Linked DNA regions of Notamacropus eugenii. The protein of the gene in region 1 interacts with the protein of each later gene in a pairwise test. Links are inferred from orthologs where the notes say so. Each region holds a gene or a part of one and is shown on either strand. Other genes may lie near its edges.

The links.
Region 2: the proteins of NTAQ1 (region 1) and NT5C1A interact in binary tests that used the Homo sapiens proteins (3 or more experiments, as listed by UniProt). The two-hybrid records come from large-scale screens. The link is inferred for Notamacropus eugenii from reciprocal best matches to the Homo sapiens genes NTAQ1 and NT5C1A.

What each region holds. Positions count from the first base shown.
Region 1 is NC_092875.1:120,994,133-121,001,416, forward strand, and holds the start of NTAQ1 (protein N-terminal glutamine amidohydrolase), read right to left. Parts: upstream 3,220-7,284; 5' UTR 3,051-3,219; intron 2,179-3,050; 5' UTR 2,046-2,178; intron 888-2,045; exon of another isoform or gene 813-887; 5' UTR 722-812; coding exon 639-721; intron 539-638; exon of another isoform or gene 108-538; intron 1-107. UniProt on the Homo sapiens protein: Mediates the side-chain deamidation of N-terminal glutamine residues to glutamate, an important step in N-end rule pathway of protein degradation.
Region 2 is NC_092876.1:79,437,183-79,444,997, forward strand, and holds the start of NT5C1A (cytosolic 5'-nucleotidase 1A), read left to right. Parts: upstream 1-4,519; 5' UTR 4,520-4,763; coding exon 4,764-4,880; intron 4,881-7,815.

The DNA.
Region 1 (7,284 bases):
TGTCTTCCAGAATGCAATTCTAGGGCTCCACTTACCGCCTCATTAGTCTAATGAGTGCTTAATGACCAGGATCAGCTCCTAGGGTGGCCCTCATTTCCCATACTCACCTGATTACAAAGGTATCATTTATTCTAAGTATTCTCGGCGCCTCGCCGCCCGCAAGTTATATTTACGATAAGGCCCTGCCATGAAACAGCCCGTCCCTCCCAGCTCCATCTCTCTACCCGGAAAGAGTTACTGTCGTCGCCAGCAGGGAGAACCACCAGAGCTCTGGAGCCGTTAGCCCTGGATTCAAATCCTGACTCCGTCCTGGTTAGCAGCCACCTCGGCCGCTGGGATCCGAGTCCCCCTCCCGTTACTGAATGAAGGGAAGGCGAGCGCTCCCAGCCTCAGTTTCCCCATCTGTAAGACGAAAGGGTGGTAGGGAGCGGGGGCTGGCCTGGATGAGCTTCGGCTCCGGGGCCTAGAAGCCTCTCCGCAGAACCCGAAGCCACGCCCGGGCCGAGCGCGGAGAAGCTCGGGGGTGCCCGGGGCCAGGGGCGGGGCCAGGGCGGCGCAGGGCCGGGCCCAGGGAAGGCGCCTACGACAGACCTAGGCCGGTCCGGGGCGGGGGCGGGGGCGGGGCTCGGGCCCCTTACCAGTAGCAGCTGCTGTAGGTGCAGGCGTCCCGGGGCGGGCTGGCTGGCTGGTAGCCTCGGGAAACGGATCCCTCTCCTTCCATGGCGGGCGGGCGGGCGGGCAAGCCCGGGCCGAATACGCCCGGCTGTCCCTTCGCCCTCCTTCAACAGGCCGAGGAAGCGCGGTGCGAAAGCCTGGGAAAGGGGACAGCCTAATAAGAGGCGGACGCTGAGGCGGAGGCCGCGGAGGGGCGGGGCCGCGGAGCCGAGGGGGCGGGGCCCGAGGGGCGGGTCTGAGGAGGTCTTAGCGGAAGCGTGGGGGGCGGGGCTTGGAAGGCCTGAGCGGGGGGGCAGGTTGTTGCTTGGGGGCGGGAACGGTGAGGAAGGGGCGGGGTCTCGTTAGGGGCGGAGTTAGAGGGGCGGGGCAGAGATGTCTTGACTGGACTTTTTTTTTTACTGAACTTTTGACTCTGCTGAGGAAGGGATTTGTTTCTTAGAAAAATAGTCCCTGGCTTTGTGGCCTATAGAGCTCTAGGCTTATGCTCCTCTACATAGGGCTTTTCTTGCGTTTGCACCTCATCCCCCCAATCCCTTCCTGGCCTCCCTGGGTTTCCTTCAAGTTTCAGCTAAAAATCACTCCTGCTGCAGAAGGCCTTTCCCAGGCCTCCCTGTGGAGCTTTCCCTCTGGGACTACCCTACCTTTATCCTGAATATGCCTTGTACATAGTTGTTTGCATGTGTCACTCATTTCAGTCATGTCTGACTTTTCTTGACCCCCATTCGGAGTTTTCTTGACAAAGATATTGGAGTGGTCTGCCACTTTACAGAGGAGGAAACTGAGGCAAACAGGGTTAAGTGATTTGCCCAAAGTCACACAACCAATAAATGTCTGAGGCCTTCCTGACTGCTCTGTTTCCTGCACCACCAGTTGCCCCTCTTTGCATGTCGTCTCTCTCTAGATCATGAGTTCCTTGAGATCAGGGATTGTCTTTTGACTTTCTTTACATCCCTATCCTTTAGCACCATGCCTACCACAAAGTGCTAATTGACTAACTTAAAATGCCATCACAATGAATGAAACAATCCCTACTTACAAGATTACATTCTAATAATTTCTATTATTAATTAGTAATTCTAACAATAGTGGAAGGAGCATCAGCTCTGACACAATTATGACCCTCCTTACTGGGAAATCCAACGACAAGCAACTTGCATTGGTAGAGGGAATTTCCTCACCTGACAATTTCCCTACTCCAATGATATTACAGGTGCAGTTCCAGCCCCCATCACAAATTCTATCATCATTCTCGTTTTCCTCTTTTGCACATGTTTCTGCTTGTCAGTGTCTTCACCCAAAATGGAACACCCCAAACTAAACCTATACTCCATACATCTAAGCCTAGGGCAGAGTTCAGTGGGACTACTCACTTCTTTGACCTGGAGACTTCCTCTGTCAATGCAACCTGAGATTCTGGCTGCCAGGTTAGAGAGTCAGATCATACTGAATGTGCTTGTGAAGTCCTTATCAAATGAAATGTAGTCCAGCCAGGCCTCTTCACTTCTAAACTTACAGAGTTGAAAGGACAATTATCCTTTTCCCCTGGCTTTACCTTCTTCCATAGACTAAACATCTTCACTTCCTTCAAACCATATGGTATGTTTCATCTTTAGTCTAGTCTCCCTTTGGCACTGTTTTGTCTTTATATCCCCAACACTTAGTTCCTTGGACAACGTAGACACTTTTAAAATGCTTAAGGAATCAAAAAGAAGTAATAAAATGAGGAAAGAGGAAAAATGTTGTACCTTGAATATGGGGGCCACGGATAAAGAACAAAACAACAGAGAAACAGAAGAATGAGAATAGAGGGAAACATTTTAAAACACCTTTCTATCTGAACTAGAGAAAGGGCATGAGGAGTTTTGAAAAGATTCTATCAATAAAAGTAGAATCCCAGAATCTTGAGGTTATAGGAAGAGATGTGAGGGTATGGAGAGTCTATGATCATTCTAAGAGAATGATACTAGTGATCTGACTGAAAAAGCAGACTTAACAAGCAACAGGATGTGGAGGAGGGAAAAGCACACTTACCAGTTATAACCATGCACATAAACAGATTGAACTACAGAGTAGGGGGAAAATTTTTGCAATTAAACGTTTCTGCTGAAAGTCTGACATGTAAAATCTATAGGGACTGGCATAGATTTATAAGGTTAGGAGAAATTCCTCCTGATAGATAAGTGGTCAAGGGCTGTGAACAGGCCTTTTCCTTTTATTTTACTTTATTGGTATCTTTAATTTTTATATCACCTTCATTACCAAATATATTCCTGCTATCTTTCCTCCTCTCCCTTGAGTCATTCCCTATAACAGTTTTTTAAAAGATGAATAAAAAGAGAGAACTTAGGGAAAAAAAGCAATTTAGAAAAACTCACCAGCACATCAATCAAGTCTGAGAGTATATGCAACTGAATAGGCATTTTTCAAAAGAAACATAAGTTCACACTGAAATGGACAGACCGAGACAAGCACAGGCAAGAGTTAATTGAGAATTTGGGAGTGTCTTAGCCAGTGGCTGTCCACAAAGGTGGCAGCCCTGAACAAAGGTGTGTGTGCCTTTTAAGCATCTTAGCACCTCCCGGTACAGCCTTATGGTTCCAGTAGCTCACATTTTTCACAGAACAGTTTTGACAGGGGTTCCTAGGTACTGCTAGGCAAGGGGGCACAACAGAGAGGGGGGCCCAAGCAGCTGCTAGGCAAAGGGGTACAACAGAGATGGGGGCCCAGGCAGCTGCTAGGCAAAGGGGTACAACAGAGAGGGGGGCCCAGGCAGCTGCTAGGCAAAGGGGTACAACAGAGAGGGGGGCCCAGGCAGCTGCTAGGCAAAGGGGTACAACAGAAAGTGTAGCCACTAATAGTAAGTGGCTACTAGGCCCAACCCTGCCTAGAAACTCAACAGACATTTCTCAACCCAGGGGCTCTAGGGGGGGAGGGGAAATAATGTCCACTTCAACACAAGTAATTTGAATGAATAATAAAAATACAAATTAGCTTAATTCTTAAGTGTCACTTTAAAAGACATCAAATTCACATAAATAGTAATTTTTTTTTAAATCAGTTGCTGGCAAGACTTTGGAAAATTGACAATCTAAAAATTCACTGCTAATGGAGCTATGAATTTACTAAGAATTTTGGAAAGAAATATAGAATTATACAATAAAAGTAACAAAAAATTTTGTACTCTTTAATCCAACAAACCCACTATTAGGCTTTTAACCTGGGGTAGTAATTGGTAGGAAAAGACCAATCTGCAAAAATATTCGTACCAGAACTATTTGTAATAGCTAAAAAGCTGGACACAAGCTTTGTGATTTAATAAATTGTGGCATGTGGATGTATGTGGATTCCGTAGCCATAAGGAATTTGCCAGTTTGAAGAAATGGTGAAATATTCAAACTGAATCTATACAAAATAAAGCAAAATCAAAGGAAAATAAACATTCTAACTTCAATGAAATAAACAAAGACATTAAAGAGCAACAAATCTCAGATAAATATGAAAGTAAATATTGGTATTATTGCCATATCAAAATTGAAGCACACAGATGCTGGGGGCCCTCCCATCTTTTGGGGGGGGGGAGGTGCTAAGTCAGTACATAAGCTACTTTTCTTTCTTTTTTCTATCTAAACCAATGATTTCATCAATGTGCTAAACTGTTAGTGTGGAAACTCCTTCCACATATTCAGACTGGCCACTCCTCTACAAAAATGTATGTTTATAATCTTAGAAAATTTCCTGTTTCGCTGAGTATAAGTGACTTACTGATGGTCACTGAAATGGACAGATGGTCACATAGCTAGTATGTGTCATAGAGAGAGCTTGAACCCTGAGATTCCTGTCTAGAAAACTGACCCTTACTCTCTCCCTTGGTAATGTTATTAACTCCCATGATTTCATTTATCAACTTGATTCAGATGGCTCCTGAAACCATAATACCTCTAACTATGACCTCTTTCAAGATCACAGACTCACTTTTCCAAATGCCTATAGGATATTCCTCACCTGAATGCCTCCCTAGCACTTCAAACTCACCTCCTCCTTGTCTATTCATCAAAACTTGCTCTTTCTTTGGGTTTTACCAGTTCTGTCAGTAGCAGCATGCATCTCCCCTTTCTTTTTTAAAATGGCAAACAAGTGCATGGCTGCTTGTCCAATCTTGTACTTTTTGGTATTATTTTTCTTAATATTTGGGGGGACTGGTTTGGGGGGTTTTCTTAAATTATATGAGGAGTTTGTTGAAATTTTCTTAAAACAAAATGTTTTGATAAAGTAACGTGGCTCAAAGTCATTAGTGTAAGTCTTTCTTCGTTGGTGGAGATTAATTATTCAATACTCCTTACCTATATCACGGAAAGCATTGATGAGAACTTATGAGAAAAGAGATACTAGTCTTTAGGCTGCTAACTTTAAGAAAAAAGATAGTTCCACACTCCATTCAGATTGCTAAAGGGACAAAAAAACTGGGAAAAAGTCAATATGATCAAAGTGCTGGTACTTACAAGCTACCCTTTTCTAAAAAAAAAAAAAAACAATGTGGATAATAATAACTGTACTACCCACCTTATCTGGCTGTTGTAAAGAAAGTGCTATGAAAACTAGAAAGTGGGAACCAAGGGAAATGAGAGACAATGTGACTTACTGGATAGAGATTTAATAGAGGAGTCAGAAAGACCTGGGTCTAAGATCTGTCTCTGACATATACCAGCAATGTGACCATGGATGGGAGAGTCACTTTACCTTGGAAGGCCTGTGTCCACACACTTTAGCCTATAAGTTACAAAATTATTCCAATCTGCATCAGTGAGTTCTAGTTGCCAAGAATTATCAAAGATGTGAAATTACAGTTTTGGATCCCTCCAAAAAAAGTGGGAGATTAAGTCAGATTGATAAGAATTAGAGCCTCTAAGGAAAAACTTGAATTCTAGGAAATGAGAAGTTTGACTTGATATTGTGTGGGATGGCTCAGGTCCCTACTTAAATCAGTTACTCAGAGGCCTCTCAAAGTGATGACAGAAAGTTTATTTACTAGATTCTCGAGAATCGGGACAATCCTACACCAGTTCATCTGGAGTAGGAAAGACAAAGACAAAGAAAAGGCAGTGATTTATATAGACCCTAACGCAAGTCCCTCCTCCCCCACTGACCATTATCCTCATTAGCTGAGAATATGATCTTACATTCTAGACACAAAATCTAACCAATCCCTTTTGAAATGAAGACATCGAGGAATTATGTAAGTTTTATCCAATCATTGAGACCCTAATATACTACACAGTTTTATATCCTTATATGGAACTATTCTATTCTAAAAATATTGTAACCTTGAGCCTCTAGGTCTTACCTCACCCCTGGGAGAAGAATTACAATCTGAGAAGTCTTCACTAAACCTATCCCACTCAATATTATAGTAAGGTATTGATATTCTTGAAGGGTAAATGTTAAAATGCCTAATCTGGAGTGATGACTAGGCATTGAAATGGAAGAGCATATGGGGAAACCAAGCAGAGGGTTAGTGTAGTACTGAGAATACAGTGAAGAAAACTGCTATTTTGCCACTAATTGTAATCAACAAGGAAAATCTGAATAGTGAAATAGAAACCTAGAAAACTTTGGCAAAAAGTGAAAATCTCTTAGCATTCATGGTAATTTAAGGAAAGGAATATTGGGTATAAAAAAATCATCCATTCTCTGTTTGAGTCTGTTATCTCTCATGCTTCACTGACTTCTTCCTATGTAGATACAAATATATCTAGGTCTCCTCATTCCCAAAAGAAGCCCTTTCCTTGACCCTACTCCCCCAAGCAAGTAGGAATTTCTTGAAGTAGTCTTGAAGAACTCAATTCTTCCAATTGCACTTCTTTATTACCCACTCTCTTCTCAATCCCTGTCAACAAGGCTTCTATTCCTTCTCTACTAAAACTATTTTAAGCACACCAGTGACATCAAATCATCTTTACCCCAGTTCTCATGTTCTTTGACCTCACTCTTTCATTTGGCATTACCCCTCCAACCATATCTTCTTTTTCTCCTCCTTTGCTGACTCCTTAGCCTCTCTTGGATCTCAAAAGATTTTATCAGTCCTTTGTTCTTTACTTTGTCCCTTAAAAATGTCATTAGCTCCCATGATTTCAATTATCACCTTAATACAGATAGTCTCTGAAACCATAAGGCCTCCAGCTTTGACCTCTCTCAAGGTCTCAGATTCGCTTTTCCCCATTCCGGCAGGATATTCCTCATCTGAATGCCTCCCTAGTACTTCAAACTCACCTCCTCCAAAGCTGAGTTTATCTATTCATCAAAACTTGCTTTTTCTTTGGGTTTCACCAGTTCTGTCAGTAGCACCACTATTCACCTATTGTCCTGTATTCAAAACCTTGGTAGTATCTTTGATTATTCCCTCTCTCTCACCTTTCATATCCAATTAGTCGCAAAATCCCAGTGATTCTACTTCTACAATATCTCCCATATCTAACCACAGCTTTTTATTTTCACCACTATCAATCTAATCCAGCTTCTTATTATCACCCACTTACACTACTGCCTTCTAAGACATCTTTCTGCCTCCACTCTCTTTTCCTTCTAATCTATCCATGACACCACTTCTAGACT
Region 2 (7,815 bases), on another chromosome or scaffold:
AGAAATAAAGACCAACAGACAGGGCTTCTAACTGTCGGACCGTAAGTAATACATACATCACAGATCAACAGACAGATCCAACCATTACATACATGCATCATTACCAGGGACAGCAAGCACCAACATCTGGGTTTTCAAAGCTGGGGGCTCCCTAATGGCTACCCAGAGCCTCATCTGGCACTCGAACCTTCTCCCAAAGAGTAAACCCCAAAGCAAAACTTCAACCCAGAGTATATATACACTTTTCAGAGCCAGAGGGCACAACCCTCAGGACTCAATGCCTCATTAACAACTAACAAAAGGTGTGAGCCTTCCTACAAAACAAGCCTCCCCTAATCAGGCTTCCCTTAGTGGGCTCCATCTGAGGCTTATTAATGGGAAGGGAAAATCTTTAACTCTTACAGTGGGAGAGACCATGAGCTTAGAGGGATGGTGGCAGGAAATGGACAGTGTTAGGGTGTCTGGGGAACAAAGGGAGGGGGCTTTGGCAAAGTAGCAAAGGGACAGAAGGAAGGGAGAAGGCTGATTTGAGGTTACCTCACAACACTGGTCTGGTCCAATCCCTGTTCACACACCCCCAGCCTTCTCCTCAGGCTCACTCTTGAGTCAGTCCTAGAGGGTGAAATCTAATCAAATCCCCTTGCAGTGAAATATCCCGTCACATTAATTCCATCTAGATTTGTGCTAAGCCGAGTCACAATTTCTTTTTGTGCCTTTTTGTACCAGTTAACTTCTCTGTAAAAATGAGTAGGTTCTGCCTTCCCCCCTCCAAAAAAAAAGGAAAGAAAAGAAAGAATCAAAAGAGAAAAATGAGTAGGTCATTCTCAACCTGTTACAAGTACTTAGTATTTGTGCAATGAAAGGAGATAGGAGACATCAGTGTATAGTGTACAGAGCAATAAGACCCAAACATTTGAAGACTTGCTGCACTACCTTGGGCAAGTTCCTTCCCTCTTTTAGGGCTCATTTTTCCCATCTGTAAAATTATTATCTCAAGAGTGTCTTCTAGGACTGACAGTCTGGAATCCTGAGAGCCCCACAGAATCTTCTCATCTGTAAAATGGGGAATTGGGCTAGATGTCCTCTGAAACCTCTTCTACCTCCAAAGCTCCTAAGAGCATGAGTGGAGAATGCCATCTGCTCTGCTCTCCACGCCTCCTTTCTTCTCTCTCCAGCTTAGTGGCCTGACCCAACACCTATGTTCCCTGAGGCTGGAGATGGAAATGGGATGGAGTTGGCTTGTTTTCCAATTGCTTCACCAAGGACTCTCAGAGGGCAAGAGCCTCTCACGGGCAGGAAGCAATTAAGATGGGGTGGGGAGACGACTGAGGATTGAGAATAGGTGAGCTGGCAGACACCCAGCTGAGAGGCCTCTGACCTGTTGTGGGCAGAGGATTCCAACTCACCTTCCCTTCAGCACCAGGGTGGGAAAAGCCATTACTAACTGCTCTCCTACTTTGATGGATGGTTTCCTGGAGGAGAGATTGCCCTGTCTGCCATCCCTTATGACCTTAGGAAGGGAGGGTGAGAGACCCAGCTGAAACCCTGAGTGATTACAAGAGGGGGTACCCTTCTCTCTTGCCAGACTCTCAAGCTGGGCCTTGAAGGATTGTTGTGAGGAAAGTCATTGTTAAACTTCAAATCACTTTGGAACTGAGAATTCTTTGTATTTATAGAGCAAAGATTGAGATGGGAAGGTACATGCCTAATATCCTCCATATAGTAAATAGCATTAGCTCCAACAAATATACTTGGCCTGTGTGTGGCCAAGTTTCTCTGAGGAGAGAGAGGGGTATGGGAGGGGTGGTTCATCCCTCCTCCAGCAAACTCCCCTCTTCTGGGGGGAGAGAAGGGTCGCCACACCCCTGGACAATCTAGCCATAACCTTTACACCAGGAGAACGTAAGCCTCTTGGCATCAGGAAATTTCATTTTCATCTTTGTATTCATAGTACCTGGCATACACAGTGCCTAGCATGTAGTAGGCATATCGTAAGTGCTTGTTGAATGAAATTTAGAGCAGATAAAGATAGGCCCTGAAAGCTGTCCTCCTACCAGTCCTATCAGGTGAAAGTATTATTCCCCCCAGCAGCGAGGCATTCCTTCCATTCCTTCCCACCTTTTGGTCTGGGAACATTATGGGTCACTACAATTCCTGGAAGGAACTGTCCAATTCCTCACCATCCCTGCAACTTCCCAGGCCAAAACATGACTCTCTGGTCATCAGACTCCTGGAGGTGGTCTTCTCCATTAGCATGTAACCTCCTTGAGTCCAGAGGATACCTTGCTTTTTGTATTTGTAACTCCTAAGGTTTAGCACAATGTCTGACACATAGTAAGAGCTCTGTTAAACCTTTTTTCATTCATTCACTTTACGAAGGAGAAAACTGAGAAAGGAAAAAATAGCTTACTCAAGGTTACACAACTTGTAAATGTCAAATGAACACATATGTATTCAATGCTTACTGTGTGTGGGTCCTGTGCTGGGCTGTTGGTGAAATACAAGGTTCACTGGAAAGATTTATGTGAACTGATGCTGAGTGAAGTGAGCAGAACCAGGAGAACATTGTACACAGTAACAGCAACATTGGGTGGTAATCAACTTTGATAGACTTAGCTCTTCTCAGTAAAACGAGGATCTAAGGCAACTCCAAAAGGCTCATGATAGAAAATGCCATCCACATGCAGAGAAAGAACTATGGAATATGAATGCAGATTGACATATACAATTTTCTCTTTTGCTATTTTTTCTTTCTCATGGTTTTTCCTTTTGGTTCTAATTCTTTGGGTAGTGCAGTAGATAGAGCACCAGTGCAGGAGTCAGGAGGACCTGAGTTCAAATCTCACCTCAGACACTTGACACTCACTAGCTGTATGACCTTGGGCAAGTCACTTAACCCAATTGCCTCATCCTGGGTCATCTCCAGTCATCCTGATGAATATCTGGTCACTGGATTCAGATGGCTCTGGAGGAGAAGTGAGGCTGGTGACCTGCACAGCCCTCCCTCACTCAAAACAAAGTAAAGTTCAAGTCATGTCATCATTTCTCTAATGGCATGGTCCTCTTCAGTAACAAAAGACTAACACACATGCCTTAGTTTCCTCAACTGTTAAATGAGGATAATAATAATATCCACTTCCCAGAGTTGTTGTGAGGGTCAAATGAGATAACATTTGTAAAGCTCTTAGCCCAATGCCTGGCATACAGTAGGTGCTTAATAAATGCTTGTTTCCATCCTTCCTTGGTGAGCTTCAGTGTCCTCATCTGTCAAATGAAGGGGGTGAATTAAATGCTTTTTAAGGTCCTTTCCACTCTAAATCCTCTAATCCTGGGGCAGATTTCACGTGAGGTCTCCATAGACCTTGCAAGTGGCTGGACCCAGAAGGGAGGGAAGTTTGGAGGTTCCTGGCTCAGAAGAAGTCAGCAGTTCATTCTCTTTTATCAGTTACAAGGGGTCGCGCCTGGCTGAGAAGGTGGTCCAGCAGGTTGGCTTTCAGAGGCCAGAGATGTCAAGTGATCTGAAAAGTCCCATACCAGAAATAAGGACGTTGAAGCCCAGCATGGAAAGGACTTGGGAGTTACAGAGGGAGCTAGTAACAGAGCCAGGCCTAGAACGTGGGTTTATGGCTGTGCCCTCCACACCAGGCTTTAAAAAGCTACAGTCCTTTAGTGCTACTCTCCTGGGCTCAGATCCCAGGGTTCAGCTCTGTCCAGACACCCCTCTGACTGGGTCCACCCCCACCCCCAGCTGCTTCTGCCAGTTCCCCGGGACACAGGCCAGAGGCCCTTGTGTTGCCCGGCAAGGTGGGGAGAGGGCGACAGCTAAAATATATTCCTCAGCTGGCTCTCTCCTTTCCCTCTTCTTTGCAAAATCAGTTTTCCCCTTCTGAGGATTTCCCCCACCTCCCTGGAGGCTCTAGATTTAGGGTTCTGAGCCTCCAATTCCCTCTCCTTCTGCCCCTCCCTCTGCCTCCCCCTCCCCTCAGCTGTCCTCTCAGGCTGGGAAGGACGCATGTCCTTGGAAGGATAGGGTGAGAGTGTGGAAGGGGGGTCCTTCAGCTGCCCAGATTAGAACAGCTCCAGGTTCCCGAGGGGGAGAGAGGGGCAGGAGGTTAGCCTTGCAGCTTTACAGCCATATAGATTGTGTGTGCCTACAAATGTATGGAGATTATATACATGTACATGTATATAGTACATGTGTGTATCTTGCATTGCACACATATTCTTGAAAGTGCATGTACTAACACGATACATAGATGTGTCCTGTGTCTCTATGTGTGCATATGGGCACATGTTTATGTGTATATCCCTGCAATCCATGTGTGTTTCTGCATTATATATGCCCTTACCTATCTCCTACTGCAGGATGAGAGGAGGCTGGAGCCCACCAAGGAGGAGACAACCCCCCAGCCCACCCCCATCCCCGCCCCCCACCCCCTGTTGGGTGCGCAAGCGCCCGGGTCCCGCCCCCCACAAATAAAGCAGCTCCTCCCTCTCTCCCTCCCTCCTGTCACCACAGGCTGCTTTGCTACTGAACAACCTTCTTAGCCATTCCCCGGGACAGAGCAGCTGGCTTTGGGTCTGGACCAGGGTTTGTCCACCTTCCTCTTCAGCTCCCTCTCCGCTCCTTCTCCCCTTCTTTTCCTCCCCTTCCTTTCTTCCTGCCTTCTCTCCTCATCCTCCTCTCTTCCCCTTCTCCCCCCTCCCTCTCCTCTTCTGCTATTCTCACTCCTTCTTCCTCTAGAGTCCTCTGCTCCCTCAGCATGGATTCTGGGCCTCGGGGGCCCTTGGGGACCCCAGAGTCTGGAGGGAAACCACCAAACTGGCAGGAAGCCAAGACTTTCTATGACAGCCTGGCACCCAAAAAGAAGCCCAAATCGGTAAGATGTAGCCCTGTGTGAGCCTGGGAGAGGGGGACCCCAAACCCTGATGAGGGAGGGACAGAGGGACTGGGAGATGGAAGGATCCTTGTTCTCCAGCCAGAAAAACTGCAAGAGTGAAGTCCCCGCTTCTCTCCCTCCCCTTCCTTCCCCTCCCCTCTCCTCTTCCTCCTCCTCCTCCTCCTCCTCCTCTTCTTCCCTCCCAGTTTCTGGCAGGGACTGGGTGTTTATTTCAGTTCTGGCCTGGGCTTTGTGCCTCTCCTCTTCCTCATCAAAATGCCCTCCCCCTCCCCTTCCTATCAGCCCCAGCCCCTGGTCACAACCTGCCTCTTGCTGTGTTGGCTGTCAAAGCACATGTCTCTTCAAATGAATTAAATCAAAATGAATGGATTGGAGGGTGGCTTCCCTGTCCAGACTCATGGCTCTGGGCTCTCTGGAGTGTAGGGCCTGAGGGTCCCCTGTTCAGAATCACTGGGGCTCTAACCACTGAGATTCTCATTCCAGACTGCCTACCCCAGTAGTCTCTAGAGCCGGATGGGCACTGACATTTAAGCGGGGGGACTAGGGATGAAGGGAGGGCCTCAGACTGTTGGCCCCAAGTGACAGACAGATTTATTCTTTGATTTAGAGCTGCAGGGACCTTACGCATAATTAGCCCAACTACCTCATTCTACAAATGATGAAATGGAGTTGAATTGATAGGTTCAGAGAGTAAATGGCAGATCCAGTATTGGAATCCAGGCTACCCAAGTCAAGCCAGCTTCCCGAATGGGAGGAGAGACTGAGTAGCCCTGTCTGCAGGCTCCTTCCTTACTGAATACAAAGGTGCCCATATCTCTTCCATTCTCAAAAAACTGAGATTTCTAGCCCCAGTATCATCCTCTGTCTCCTCTGATCTTGTGGTCAGACTCCTTGAAAGGGCCTCTAGGATAGGTCCTCCACTTTCTTGACTCTCATTCTTTTCTTAACCCTTTACAATCCAGCTTCTGACCTCATCATTCAACTAAAGCTGCTCTCTCCAAAGCCACCAGTGATCTCTTAATTGCTAAATGCAGTGGCCTTTTCTCAATCACCATTCTCCTTGACCTCTTTGAAGCCTTTGTTACTGTTGATCACTCTCTCCTCTTTGACACTCTTTTCACCAGGTTTTCAGGATACCACATTCTCCTGGTTTTCCTCTTACCTATCTGACCTCTCCCTCTCTGTCTCCTCTGCTGTATTTTCATCCAAGTTACACTGCGTAATTAAGGGTGTCTTCCTGGGCTCAATCCTAGACTCTTTCCTCTTCTCCCTCCAATCTACTTCACTTGGAGATCTCATTAGTTCCCATGGATTTAATGACCTATGATCTATGATCTATGCTGATGGTCCTCAAATCTATCCATTCTGCCTTAACCTCTCTGATGGTCTCCAGTCTCACATCTCCATCTGTCTTTCGGACGTCTCAAATTCAACATGTTCAAAACTGAACTCATTAGCTTTCCTCCTAAATCCTACCCTCCCCGCCCACTACCTTCCCTATTAATGTAGAGGGCGACACCATCCTCCCAGTCCCTCAGGCTCACTACTTTGGAGTCATCCTGGATTCCTCCCCATCTCTCACTTACCACCACCACCCCCATTTCCAAGCTGTTGACAAGGCTTATCAATTTCTTCTTTTCAACTTCTCTCCAATACACTTCCCTTCTCTTCTGAACTGCCTAGTGCTGACTCTCATCACCATATGATTAGACTATTACAGGTGGATCTGCCTGCCTTAAGTCTTTCCCCACTCTCTTTTCAGCTGCCAAAGTGATTTTCCTAAAGTGCAGGTCTGACCATGCCACCCTTGTCCTCAATAAACTTCAGTGACTCCCCATCGTCTCCAGAATCAAATATAAAATCCTCTGTTTGCTATTCAAAGCCCTTCATAACCTAGCCCACTCCCACCCATCCTTCTAGTTTTCTGATACCTTATTCCTGACACACTTTGATCCAGTGACGCTGACCTAACTTTGCTTTCAACAAGACGCTCCAGCTCACAGCTCTGGGCATTTTTTTCTGGCTGTCCCCCATTCCACCCCTGTACTGGCTTCCCTGGCTTCCTTCAAGTCCTAATTAAAATCTCATCTTCTACTGGAAGCCTTTTCCAACTCCTCCTAATTCTAGTGCCTTCTACCATTTAATTATTTCCTATTTATCCTGTATAGAGCTTATTTGAACATATTCTGTTTGCTCACTATCTCCCTTGTTGGATTGTGAGGTTCTTGAGGGCAGGGATCATCTCTGGCCTCTTTTTTGCATCCCCAGCACTTAGCACAGTGGCTGAGCACTTAATAAATCTTTATTGACTAACTAATTAATTGATTGACCCTCCGAATGTGGTCCAAATTGAAGACAACTCACTGAATAGCAGTCAAATGCTGAGTAGGAACAGATAAGGAATTAAAGACTGTCCAGAGGGCTGTCCAGCATTCAGGGACTTGGGGGAGCCCAGAATATGTTCCCCTGCCTCCTTTGCTCTCCTCTGTGGAGGCAGCTCTCAGGGTAGATACACAGACCCCACCCCTAACTGCCCTAACCTGACCCTGGAACTCCTTCTGGGCCAGTCCTGCTCAGCTGGGACTCCAGGAGGACCCATGGCTAGGGTTGCCTATCGACTTCCCAAGACCTTGACCTTCTGGGCTCCTAGCCAGTACTGTCCCCCAGGACTCCCTGACTTGGGAACTTCATACTACACTAGGTCTCCCTTTCCCTCTAAAGCACCCTCTCCAGTTCCTGATCCCCCTGCTTCCTGCCCCTCGCCTGATCATTGAGAAGATATACAACATTGATGAGGGCTGGAGAGATAGGAGTACAGGAACTCCAAGACTGGCGCTCCCTGCATGGGCCATCTGGAAAAGAATTCATGGACTCAAGTGTTGTTGAGGTTAAGGTGGTAAAGATTTATTACGCT